Mus musculus: one gene and its partner. The protein of the gene in region 1 binds, or shares a complex with, the protein of each later gene. Links are inferred from orthologs where the notes say so. Each region holds a gene or a part of one and is shown on either strand. Other genes may lie near its edges.

What was found. Proteins that work in one complex are often made in the same cells at the same time.
Region 2: the proteins of Cltc (region 1) and Dlgap5 are in contact, whole or in part, in a crystal structure (PDB 7ZX4), measured with the Homo sapiens proteins. The link is inferred for Mus musculus from reciprocal best matches to the Homo sapiens genes CLTC and DLGAP5. Residues at the interface, in NP_004850.1 of Homo sapiens: Val50, Arg64, Pro65, Ile66, Ser67, Ala68, Leu82, Lys83, Ala84, Thr87, Gln89, Phe91, Ile93, Lys96, Ser97, Lys98; in NP_055565.3 of Homo sapiens: Gly833, Asn834, Leu835, Ile836, Thr837, Phe838, Ser839, Pro840, Leu841.

What each region holds. Positions count from the first base shown.
Region 1 is NC_000077.6:86,753,615-86,760,324, forward strand, and holds the start of Cltc (clathrin heavy chain 1), read right to left. Parts: upstream 3,954-6,710; 5' UTR 3,676-3,953; coding exon 3,634-3,675; intron 1-3,633. UniProt on the Homo sapiens protein: Clathrin is the major protein of the polyhedral coat of coated pits and vesicles. Two different adapter protein complexes link the clathrin lattice either to the plasma membrane or to the trans-Golgi network.
Region 2 is NC_000080.6:47,389,751-47,395,758, forward strand, and holds part of Dlgap5 (disks large-associated protein 5), read right to left. Parts: coding exon 6,005-6,008; intron 4,568-6,004; coding exon 4,387-4,567; intron 2,030-4,386; coding exon 1,972-2,029; intron 913-1,971; coding exon 693-912; intron 1-692. UniProt on the Homo sapiens protein: Potential cell cycle regulator that may play a role in carcinogenesis of cancer cells. Mitotic phosphoprotein regulated by the ubiquitin-proteasome pathway.

The sequences.
Region 1 (6,710 bases):
TGTATGTGATGGGAACCAAACCCAGGTGCTCAGGAAGAGTTAACAGTCGCTCTTAAGCACAGAGCACCTCTCTGGTCCCTTGTAGCATCTCTTAAAGGCAATCACTGCAGCAGGGCATGATGATGCAGGCCTAGAACCCCGGCACTCAAGAGGCTGAGAAGCAAGAGGATTTTGAATCTGAATCCACTCTGGGCAACATTAGCAAGACACTGTCTTTAAAATATGATTTATGGTCAGGTGTGATGGAATATGCAATAATTCCAGCACGCTGGAGCCAGAGGCAAGCAGATCTCAGTTCAAAGCCATCCTGTTATACATAGTAAGTTTCAGACCAGACAGTGCGATATAGTTAAGACTCTGTCTTAAAAACAGAAGAGGCGATCCAAACCCCATTCTGACTATGGCCCCTGAGTACGGCCTCCAGCCTTAGTCTTCCACTGTTAATGTGAGACAGGACCAAGGGCTGAGTGAGGACACAGCACACAACAGAAGTTGGACTGCTCTCCTCCTCACTCTCTAGCCCTCACTTATCAGAAACAACTGTCCCAACAGCACACTACCCAAGTTCCCAAGACTTTAAAGTGAAAACCATAGTTTTGCATACCTTAAAGTATAATCCCAAACAGGGCACAAGTATTTTCATTAAAATTGGCCAAACTCCTTAAAGCTGAGTAAACTAACCTTTAAGAAAATTCTGGGGGGGGTGGGGGGGGAGGGAATCGGTCTTCATTTAAACTATTTCCACGGTAGATTAGAGTCTACTTCCAGGTGGCATGCTCTTCTAGTCTTCCTAAGCATCTATTACTGCTTTCTCTTTGAAACCAAAACCTTCTTAAGAATCCTACTATTCAACTCAGCAACACATTGCATGTCTGTGTTTATGGATCAAAGAGAGAAGAACGGGGTGGAAAGATTTGTAAATGAAAATTAAAAGTATCCAAATGCTCAACAAAATGTGTCAATTGCAAAATGCTTAATATGCCAGGAACTGAAAATTGCAGGCAGTGGGGTTTTGTTGTTTTGTCCTTTGAGACAGGGTTTTGCTGGCTGGCACTGAACTTTCTGAGTTCTGCAGCCTAGAATTTGTTCAGAATCTGCAACTCAACAAAAATTCCTTCATCACATAAAATATCAAAATTATGTGATATAGTTCCAAGCCTTGATGACAGATCTTCATCTAAACAAATGCACAAAGGGATATGAAAATAAATAGCAATTTTTTATTTGCAACATTCTCATAAAAAGTTTAAAATAAATTAATTTAGAGTTTGCTGTTAACTTTCACAAGTGAACTCTACACTCCTTACTTCCCAGTTCTCCTAAATGCTTTAGAAAGTTGTTTTCTAAGCAGAATGGCAGAGGCTGGGCAATCAAAGACTTAAGATGACAACTGGAATAATCCTTACACTGTATGTTTGTTTGTTAAAAGAGAGGGAATAAAAGTCTGAGATCAGAAGATACATTATCCTTTCGGCACACCTGACTCTATCTACTAGAGTGGGATCCTACCAGCCAAAGCCTAAAGTGTAATGAGGTCCTCCAGAAAATAAGCATCCGAGATCTTCAAGTGTATCTGTAAAGCTATTTTATAAATATTCAAAATCTTTAAATTTTGGAAAACAGTTTCAAATATTTGCAGAAATTGCTACTCACATGCCACACCTGCATTAAATCTGTTTTTAATTAGTGACAAGTTTGGATTCCAGTCTGTAAGACCATTCAACAATTCTGGTCTTGAGTTTAATAGAAATGAAAAACTATTACTCAAATCACCAGCAACGGTCATGTCATCAGCAGTTGTCTTTGCTTCTTTTGTGTAAGGTTTATACACATATTTGCAGAAAGCTATTTCTGGTAACTTCAGTGTGGCCAAGTGTTAATCCCAAAGATGGGAGAAGAAAAAACAGCAACCCAAATCATGGTCAAATTAATTAAAGCAAGCAATTAATTAAAGCTAGATTTTTTTCTGTTGTTAGTGTACACAGGCTGCCTCCCTCTTAACTCAGCCTGAAGAGCCCACTGTCCACTAACATCCAGAACAGTGCTTTCCTAACACTTTATATTCTTAACAGAGGAAACTCAAGCTTGAATTGAGAACAAAAATTAACTTCTCTGTCAGCATTGTCACTTGACATTTTTCAGACCTTTACAAAATAGAGATCTTATTGCCAAAATCAGATGAATTATTTGAAAACTAGTGATGACTGAAGAAAATGTATTCAAGTCATTTAATGGGCAAAGAAGTCCTAAAGTAAAATAATTCGTTAATGTTAGCAACACGGTAAAGTCTATAAAGAAATATTTAATTATTTTACTTGGTGCTAAATTTTAGTTAACCCTCTTTATTATCAAACATCTTTTATGTATATCAATGAAGAAAAGTAAATCAGATTGCCTTCAATGATAAAGCACTCAATAAGTTACCAATATTTGAACTGGATCACTGCACCTCCCCCTCATGAAATTAGCCCTTCAGAAGATGCAGCTGAAAGCAGATTTCTTTATGGGGATACTTGAGGGAAAGTAAATTAATATGAATAAATTATGATGTCAAAGAGTCGGGACAAGTGAACCAGGAAAATCAGCAGTTCAGAAGAAGCGTAATTCAGCGAAGCCCTCCAACAGTCACCTGCCTAGGCCAACTGCTGGCAGGTTGCCAGGTTAGACAATGGTGTATTGACTCCAGGATAAGGTGCAGTGGGGGGCGGAGGGGGGACGCCCCAGACTATTAAAAAGGAGCCAGTTACAGATCAACTTGTTAGGTACTGACACAGAGCAGGTATGCACTTAAACCCGGCTCTGATGAATTCCACGCAGTCCTGTGAGACATACTCCTGCCGTAATCCCACAACTACCTGCTAAATTCCAAAAGGCCATAAATAACCTCTAAATAACTCTCCCTACCTGCAAGAATCAAAGTGAGCCTAAGAGCTACACTAACCCTCTGAAGAAACCAAGAAAGGAAAAATATGCGCGTTCCCCTTGGGACCTTGACCCCAGGCACCGAGACTGACACCGCCCCTTGCCGCCCCTCTATCTTCTTTCTGTTCCTTCAGTGAGTGTGACCTTCGGTTCCTTATAGATTCAGGGAAGGCAAGCCACGAGCCACTGCTACCCTAACCCCAAGGTGCCTTTCTCAGTGGTGAGCTGCAGAGGGAGGATGCAGCTCCTCCCCAACCCACCCGCCACACAATTCCTGGGTGCAGACTCGATGTAGAAATGGGAATAGACCAAGGGAAGGTGACAGCCCCGCGTCGCTCAGGGTTAACGAGAAATCTTGCTCTGGGAGAAACGCGCGAGAAGCTCCCCCACCTAGCCCCTACCCAAATGAATGAACTGAGTAAAATGGGAAGGGGGGTCTGGTATGCGCAGTTCTTGCAATCCAGGAAGCAGAATAAGAGGTCGTCAGACGTAAGGCCTGGCCTCGCCGCCCTTTGCACTCCGATTCGTCATTTCCATCCTAGTCTCATATCATTTAACCCTTTAAGCTTTTAAGACACTGTCCTTCCTCCACCTATGCCAAATACCGACACCCCCCACTCCCCTTCTCTCGATCCCTTTCGGGCCAGGCCGCTAGCTTCTTCCTTCCCACGACCCTCGAAAAGTCCCTCAGCAGCCCCGACTCACACGTACCTGGAGATGCTCCTGAAAGCGAATGGGCAGAATCTGGGCCATGGCGCTGTCGGGGAGTATGGTCTCCTCCTGTCACTGGGGCTGCAGGGCAGTGCCTGCCCGGGCTCTCCAAGGGAGAGGAGGAGACGGGGAAGGGGAGGGGAGGCTGGGCTCAGAGGGATACTCTCCGGGGACGCAGGGAACTGGCAGGCAGACGAGAGAGCTTGGGTCGGGGGCGGAGGCTCCAGGGGCCGGGAGAGCCGCAATGGCGGAACCGGGAGCAGCGCAGACTCCGGAAACGGCTGAGCCCTGCGGAAGGATCCCGAGGCAGAACTCCGCCCAGTCTCCTCACGCCGTCCGCCTTATGTAGCCTTCCACAGACGCCGCGCCGCGGTCGGGCGTAGGGATTCAGGGACGCAGTGCGCGGAGCGCTCTTCGCTGATGCGGCTGCGGGGAAACAGAGGAACCGAGGGACTACTTTTTCTAGACTCATCACTTTCCCCAGGCTCCGGTTTCTCCCTTCTCCCCTCCCCCCTCCCACTTTTTTTTTTTTTTAACATTTTGCCACATCATGCGACTCGGGGCGAACTACGTCATTTCCGTAGGCGCTGTAAGACCCACCCACGCACTTCCCGGTGCACGTGATGCGGGTAGGGAAGGGTCGGTTGAAGGCTGCCAGAGTGGAGGGCGAGAGGCAAGATACTGGCCGCTGCTCCTGGGGAGGAGGTGGCGGTTGAGCCCCCTGCCGGCGTGGCGGCCTGGGCGTGAGGACACCGAGTGCCTGAGGAGAAGGCCGCGGCGTGGGTGCCGCGGTGACTAAGGGAAACGGCCCCGCCGCAGAGCTCCTCGGGCGGCTGGCTGCGGCGCGCCTCCCCCGCCTGGTTTCGCGCAGTGGGTGGTTGCTGACACCTCAGGGAGGGGGACCGTACTGAGCTGCAAGCTTCCTTGCCCTGACGCACGCCCTTCTGACGCCAGGAGAGCCGGATGGCTCCTCGAGATCCTCAGATAAACCATCTCAAAGGACAGGGAAGGCCATGGGAGAAGAATCTCCTGCTGGCCCCTGGAGAGCGCTTCCGCGGACATTTTGGTGGACTTAGATCAGCCTAGTGTAGAGATCAGTTTGGCCTTCGAGAACTGGAGGGTTCGGCCACAGGAAAAAGCTTAAAAGATGTAGATCAAAGGATGGCTAGGGAAAGAAACCTCAGGGGCTGTCTTGGAGCTGAGGGATTGACTGTTAGTCATACATGGTAGTAGGACCATTACCTGTAGTTACAGGGTGGGCGATGTAATAAGCCCTTCAAAACCGGAGCACCTTGCCTTCCTACAGCAGTAAGCTATCTGCAGCATTCATTAGCGATTAATAGCCGCCCCAGAGCTCTTGCTAAAGTGTAAGGTGTAATGTCTCACAATAGCACCAATATAAGGAAGATTTAGAGAGTTCATTTCCACATAGTTCGTCTTAATCCCCCTGAAAGTTCTTGAGGAAATTACTTTCAATGCCCCTTTCAACCTAAAGAACATAAGACAACCACTGGGTGTACAATAATTTTGCGTAAGCGGTTTTGCTTAGAGAAATCTGCTTAGTCATTTCAGTTGCGTTTAGTATTCCCCCCAAATACTGCCTTTCATATCTGGGCTGAGAGGAGAACCAGGCAAGTGAGAAGGCAGACAACAGACCCTTGAAGAAGAGCCTTGCCACCATATTTAGGATGTTTTGTGTTTACATAATTTCACTTAAGCACTTGAATGTGCCCTGTCCTGCAATGTTTGAAAAGATTGTTTTCATAAGACTTTGTCCTTTTCTAGAGGTGGGCAAATTTTAAATTAAAATCCTAAGGGAGTTACTGTTTTATTACAGAAATGTCAGTAGCTTAATAGAATTGCACTTTCAATCTCAGAATTTGGGATGTAAGAGCTTCACCATGAACAGATCACCACATTTCAATTTATTGACAAGGGCCTTGTATTTTCATACAGACCCTGCATGAAAGGACATTTCAAATCCCCAGAGCAGTTGATTTTACTTCCTTGGTGTGGAATACCTAACCAAAAAGTGCGCTGAGACTGCTTTGTCATCACACATAGAAATTTCAAGAATGAGTTGTTTTCAGAAATCATTTAGAAAGAAGAAAAGTAGATGGTGATATCCCAAATCATTCTGCTTATTAATAGGACTGCTGCCTTGCCTGCCAGATTCTCCTCTCAGCCTAAATATGAAAGGCAGTATTGGAGAAAAACAGTAAAAGCAACTAAAATGACTAAGCAGATTTCACTCAGCAAAGGCACCTTAAACAGTTAATGCCCCCCCCCCTTTTTTTTTCCAAGAGAAAAATAGTGTAAATGATAATGCTACCCAATGCTGGGGACACTGTGGTGCTCACCTGTGATCCTCACACTGGAGGGTTCTGAGGCAGGAAGATCTAGAGTTCCACATAGCAGGACCTTGTTCCCCCAAACTAGAACAGCTCCAAACTGGCATGCCTCTTAAAGATCAGTAATTTGCTGTAATAAAAGATGATTATAATGAGATTGTGCTGGCTAAATTTCCAGCAGGACAGAGACAGGGGAAAGGACAGTTCCTGGTTTAGAAATCCCAAACACAGTAATCCCAGCATTCGGGAGGCAGAGGCAGGCGGATCTCTGAGGCCAGCCGGGTCTACAGAGTGAGTTCCAGGACAGTCAGGGCTACACAGAGAAACCCTATCATGTAAAACCAAAAAGAAAAAAGAAATCCCAAACACTGAGGCACTAAGTTTTCTAAGCTATACCTAAAAGGCGTGGTTTTAAGCACTACCTTAAAATAGATAACCTGATAAGCTCTAAAACAAATCCTGCTATCCTGTGTAAGTAACTTTTTTATCCAAACAGACTGCTGCAAAGGATGAGTCATCACCCTGGCTTTTAGTTTGCCCTGTTTTAGTAAAAGAGGTCATGTACTAAATGGTCAAGGTATGAATTTGAAGCTATTTTTACAGAGTTATCAACAGCAGGCCCTTATATAGTAAGCGCCATAACAAAAACATTGCTTTGTATGTTATTTTGAGGAATTGTAGTTTCTCAAAATCTACACAAGAAAACTGTATTGTTCGCCAGTTCTA
Region 2 (6,008 bases), on another chromosome or scaffold:
CCTGGTCTACACAGCAAGTTGCAGGCCAGCCAGGGCTACACAGTGAGATCATGGATCACGCAGACAAAAGACATTAAATGACTGTGCAGCTGTTAACATTTCATTTTACCTCAGGTCTCTGACAGACCTACAGAATAGTGAGGAAAACAGACCACCATTGCATTGTAACACAAATATGAGGCCCGTTTCCTTATAGAACAATCACAACATAGTACATAGCAACAGGCATTAGAAGGGAAAAGCAGGCTACTCTGAAGGTAGCGTCTGGATGGAGGCTGAAGAGAGCCGAGGGAAGTTCTGAGTCTAACAGATCAGGTCTACTGTCAAGGGCTCCCGTCTCCAGTGTGGGTCAGCATTGCTCTCTGAAGCATCACTTCATTTCTTTTTCTTCCCATTTTGAAACAAGGTCTCGCTGCATTGCTCTTGCTGGCCTGGGACACTGCGTGCAGTACAGGCTGGCCCTGAACTAGGAGTAACCCTCCTGTCTTGGCTTCTCTTTTGCTAGGATTATAAGCATGGCCCTTCACAGCTGGTTGAAGAACAAAGTATTCTGAAACTAGTTTGTAGGAGATAGTTATAGTGAGCTTCTAATAGCTTAACCCTCATCATGAGAACCTGGTTCTCAGAATTCTACAACAACCATCTACATCTGTACTGTTTTCCAGGCTTCATTGTATCTGAGAAGACCTAACCTGACTGCGACGCCTCAGCTTCTTCTTGTGAGGTGTTGCTCTGTGAGGAGGTATTTGTCTCAGGGTTGCTCATCAGCAAATCCTGGGAGGTGACTGCAGAGCTCGCTCCTTCCACAGCTGAGATTGCTTCTTTTTGATTGGTATTAGCATCACCAGCAGGAAGAGGCAAATTCGTTTCAACAGAGAAACAATCCATCTTGACATTTATTTTATTTACATCCTAGAGGCAAAAAGTAGTGCTCATTATATAATGTGCTCATTATAGATTCCAATCACCCATAAAGTGGGCATTACAAGGCCAAGAAGTGGGAGTAGGTGAGAAGGGGAGTGTGTTGGGGGGGAGGGTATGGGGGACTTTTGGGATAGCATTTGAAATGTAAATGAAGAAAATACCTAGTAAAAAAGTTAAAAAAAAAAAGTGGGCATTATAGATTCCAATCACTCGTAATTGGAACAAATGAAAAAAGTTTTACTGCTATTAAATATATGAAAAGCAGAAGGCTGACATAGTAAGAAATATATAAAGCATGCAAGACAGCACTCAGGGGGCAGAGGCAGGCAGAGCTCTCTGAGCTTGAGGTCAGCTTGGTCTACAGAGCAAGTTCCAGGACAGCCAGAGCTACTCAGGAAAACCCTATCTGGAAAAAAACAAAACAGAGAGTCTAAGGAACAGCCCGAGCTTCACTGTCTGGCTTCAGGCCACCTGTACATCATAAACAACACAGTAATGAAGACAACCTTTTCTGCAAGCGCCACACTCAGCTCAGAGACTGGCACACAGTTTCAGAAAGAGAAGGTCAATTACAAGAGCAAACTGGACCTGGTGTTACCCAGGACTCTGGGGTAAAAAGGTTCCAGTACACAGATGAGTATAGCTATTGTTATCATTACGTTTGGTTATAAAAAATAAAGGCCAGGGCAAGAGATGGTTCAGTGGTTAAGAGCACTGGCTGCTCTTCCCAGCACCCACACAGCAGTTCACAACCTTCTGTAATTCCAGGAGACTATGCACATAGTGCATAGATATACATGCAGGCAAAACACACATAAATAAAATAACTCTTAAAGAACTTTAAAGAGGCCAAAGATCGTGGATTCTCTAATTCTCTGGTTCTGCAGACATTTTGATGTGGCCTGAAGAATACAAAGAGAACATGGCTGCAAACAACCTGAGGGACATGCAAACGAGGACGACTCTGCCTGTAGTGTCTCCAGTAAGCGCCTGACATAAACAGATGACACCCTTGGCTACCTACCACTACCTTGCAATAGGACTTACATGCTCTATGTCACTTGAATCTTGCTCTCCAGGACAGGGGGTGTCTTCTACGTGGCACCTGAAACAAGCAGTGGTATTATACAGCAATCATGAAACATCACAATCATCCGACCTGTGCTGTCCATCCTGCATGGAGACCACTAGTTTGCATAACGGGGCTGAACACAGAGCCTGACCCAGGAGCCGTTGATCCATACAGACTAGACAGCTATTGTATGATGGCCACACAGATGATGTCCTTTTGTCCTGGAAGCTCACAGGCCCCTTCCTTTGCCAATCACTCAGTCTAATACCGTTCCACCTGCAATGTTGAATCTCAGCTAGATCCAGAGCCACATAACCAGAACAGGCCAGGGTGAGGCCAAGTCCTGAAGCAAAGCGGCTCAGTAATTGTGTAGGCAGCTTTGCTGTGCTCTGTGTGACAGGTTGGCTTCTCAATGTTCCTGCCTCAGCTTCCTAAGTGCTGGAACTACAAATGAGCTACCATGCCAGCAAGTTGGCTACGTTTACTTGATAGCATCATTAAATATATTCTAATCATAAATGTAAGTAGACACTAGATCTGAGTATGTGTGTGCCCACAAACACAGAGGCAGAACAAATATAAATGAAGATGTGATTGAAAAGAAGAACACAGTACAGGGCTGGCAGAGTGCTTGCCCAGAATGTGAAGGCTCTGTGTTCAATCCCAGGACCACCAAAAACCAAAACCATGAAGATGACACAAACAAACCCACTTAATTTGTATGTTAATAAAAAACAAATTGAGACAATGCATCTGTCATAATCTCTCCTAGGTAAAGGAGCTGCCACCAAGCCTGATCTGAGCTCAGCCCTGGAACTCACTCGAATGTTAGGAGGAGAGAACTGATTGCTGAAAGCCGCCCTCTGGCTTCCACACACGCCACAGCACCCATGCGTGAATCTACACATTCAAAGTAACTAAACAGAATGAAATTTTACTTCTTCACGTTTGTTTTAAAAATATTCTCTTCCAGAGAGATGAGTTTTTGCTTTTACAGAGGACGAGAGTTTGGTTCCCATATTGGTCAACTTACAATTGCTTGTAAGTCAGGCTCCAGGAAATCTGAAGTCCTCCTCTGCCCCTGCATGGACCCACACACGTGTAGCGCACACACATAAATAAAAGTGAATCTTAAACATCAACTTATTGTAAAGTTGGTTTTGTTTTTTTTTTTTCTTTTCCCAGTCAGGGTCTCTCTGTGTAGCCCAGGCTGTCCTGGAACTCACTTTGTAGACCAGGCTGGCCTCGAACTCAGAGATTCACCTGCTTTTGTCTTCCAGGTACTGGGATTAAAGTTATGCACCACCACTGCCTGGTTCAAAGTTGTTTTAAGATGCCTTCTGGTAAACGTTTGCAAATGAACATTAAAAAAGCTGTGTGTGTGTGTGTGTGTGTGTGAAGGCCACAGGCTTGCAAAACAAGTGACCCACTGAGCTATCTTGCTGGCCCCAGTAACAATATGACTCAACTGCTATTACAGGTCTTCTTAATATAGATAATAAACTATAAATTATATAAAGTCTAATAATAAATTATACAAAGTATGATAATAAATTGATATCTTACAAAACAGATTTTTATAATACCAAAAGCATTTTTGAGGCCCTAAAGGATGAAAATGCTTTTGGCATATATCAAAAGTTTAAAAAGACATTATAGTGCTGGGATTAAAGGCGTGCGCCACCATTGCCCGGCTAACATTTTTCAAACTTCAGGTTAATAACAAGTCCAACATCTTCTCCAGACATCAGATTACAATTTCCTACTTGTTTAAGGTTCCTCTTCCCCCTCAGATGAGCTGCACACTTATCTATGAGCCACCGGAAGGACAGCTTAGGTTATGCTGATGCAATTGTGTAGAGAATGGATCAGTTTGAGCAACTACAAGCTAAACTTCATTAAGATACCACTTAAGTTTCTCTCCCCGTCCCTGGCAGGGCTACTCTAAGGGTTGGCTAGCTAATGACCTAAAGCGATGTCTAGGTTGTCTGCACACACTGGGCACTTTCTCTCACCAGAGGATACCACACTGCTTCTCTCCCTTGTACTGCACGGTACACTTCTGCCAATTGCATCAGGACCACTTACCAACTTCAGTCCTGGTGCTTTAAGACAGGCAGTGTTGCTAAAGCTGGCTCCAAACTGCTGGCGAAATAATCCTTCCACCTCAGCCCCTGAGTGGCTATGATTACCAACACTAGAGTTGGTTCCAACCTGAAATCTGAAGTCTGTTTCCTTAGAAAAGAGGAAGCCTTGCCCACATGTTACAGGGTTACATGTGAAGTTTAATTAGAAACATACGGCTGATATATATACTTTACCAGCTTAACCATATGGAACGATAGCTCACGTCAATACCACTAAACTCACAGTACACATGAAAGAGATACCTGCTTTCAAGACCATCTGAAAACGTCCGATCAACATGCTCGCTCTTGCTGCTCTGAGGGTCCGGCTTCTTCAGTGGCATCTTCTGTCTCAGAAGGTCCCCTGCAGCCCTGCCCTCAGGCACAACTTTGCTGGCAGACAGAGGTGTTCCAAATCTTTGAGAACGACGTTCAGAAGACAGGACTGGAAATAAGAAGAACAAGCCCCATAGCAAGTCTTTCCGGCCAGTCTCTGTTCAGAGAGGAGGCACAGAGCCTGCTCTTGTCAACATCTGTTACTGTCCAGTACCAGGGGCTTTGTGGGACAAGAGGATCGTCACGTTAGCCCGTGCTTAGCTTTCATATGCCATGCCTATGATGCAAAAGGCTGCCGAGAGGCTCAGTTGTTAAGGACACTGGCTGTTCTCCCGGAGGAGCCAGGTTTGGTTCCCAGCACCTAGTGATATTTCACGACAGCTCTAACTCCAGGTCCCGGGGATCTGATATTCTCCTCTGACTTCCACAGGCATCAGGCACACACGTGGTGTGGACAAAGTGTAGGTAAAGGTACATAAAATCAAACTAAAACTTAGAAAGAAAGACGAAGAGGTGCACCTCTACAGGAAGAATGTTTTAGAAGGTATAATGTAAATTAGCAAGTGGGCTATCCCTAGCTAACGCAGGCAACAAGTGCTTGGGTCAAGAGCGTTGACTCAGAGGAGTGGCGGCGCACACCTTTATCTCAGCACTTAGGAAGAGGTAAGAGATCTCTGTGAGTTTGACGCCAGCCTGGTCTATATAGTGACCAGCAAGGGCCACACAGAGAAACCCCGAGTCAAAAGAGAGTCTTTCCTGGTAAGTTGAGACATCAGCTGTATCCTGCTGTAGATGGTTACCAAACACCGCTGAAACATAGGCTAGTCATGGGAACAGGGGAACAAGAAAGCATTACAGATAAACTGCTGAGATACTCGGCTTCCTCCAACATGGCACTTGAGCAGCTGCTGCCAGAACCACAGTCCTAGCAGGAGGTAAGAGAATGACCTCACGTGGGTAGCGTACAGGAGACTGTTGAATACAGGGATGCGCAGTGGGGGCTGGTGGCACAAGCCCGACACCACATCCTCTCCAGAGGCTCAGACAGCAAGCTACAGGCCTGTGTGAGTCCAAGGACAGCCTGGGAAACTTAGCCAAGCCTTGTCTAAAAAGAGAGGATTTCAGAAAAGGAGGCTATGTCTGGAGGGACAAGTGCTTGCTAACCATATGTCAAGCTGAGTTTGCCCCCAAGGATCTCAAACACAGCAGCACAGATGACTCCCTCAACCCCCGTGCAGAAGGGCATGGCTGAGGGAAGTGTGATGGCTCAGGTCTGCTTCCTCTGCATTGTACCCCTAGCCCAGCTTGTCTCGGAACCTCACAGACAGACTGGCACTGCATGGCAGAGACAGCTATGGCATCACTTGGAGAACAGGCACAAGCCCGCACTCGTCTCAATATTTGATGTGCACGCAGGCTTGCCAGCACAGAACCCACTTCTAGCCATCAGCGTGTGGGCTCTTTCATGGGAAAGTCACTCTCCACCATTCACTCCAGCCCCCAGTTGGCCCAAACACCGCTCTTCAGTCTCAGCAAAGCTACAAACCTGA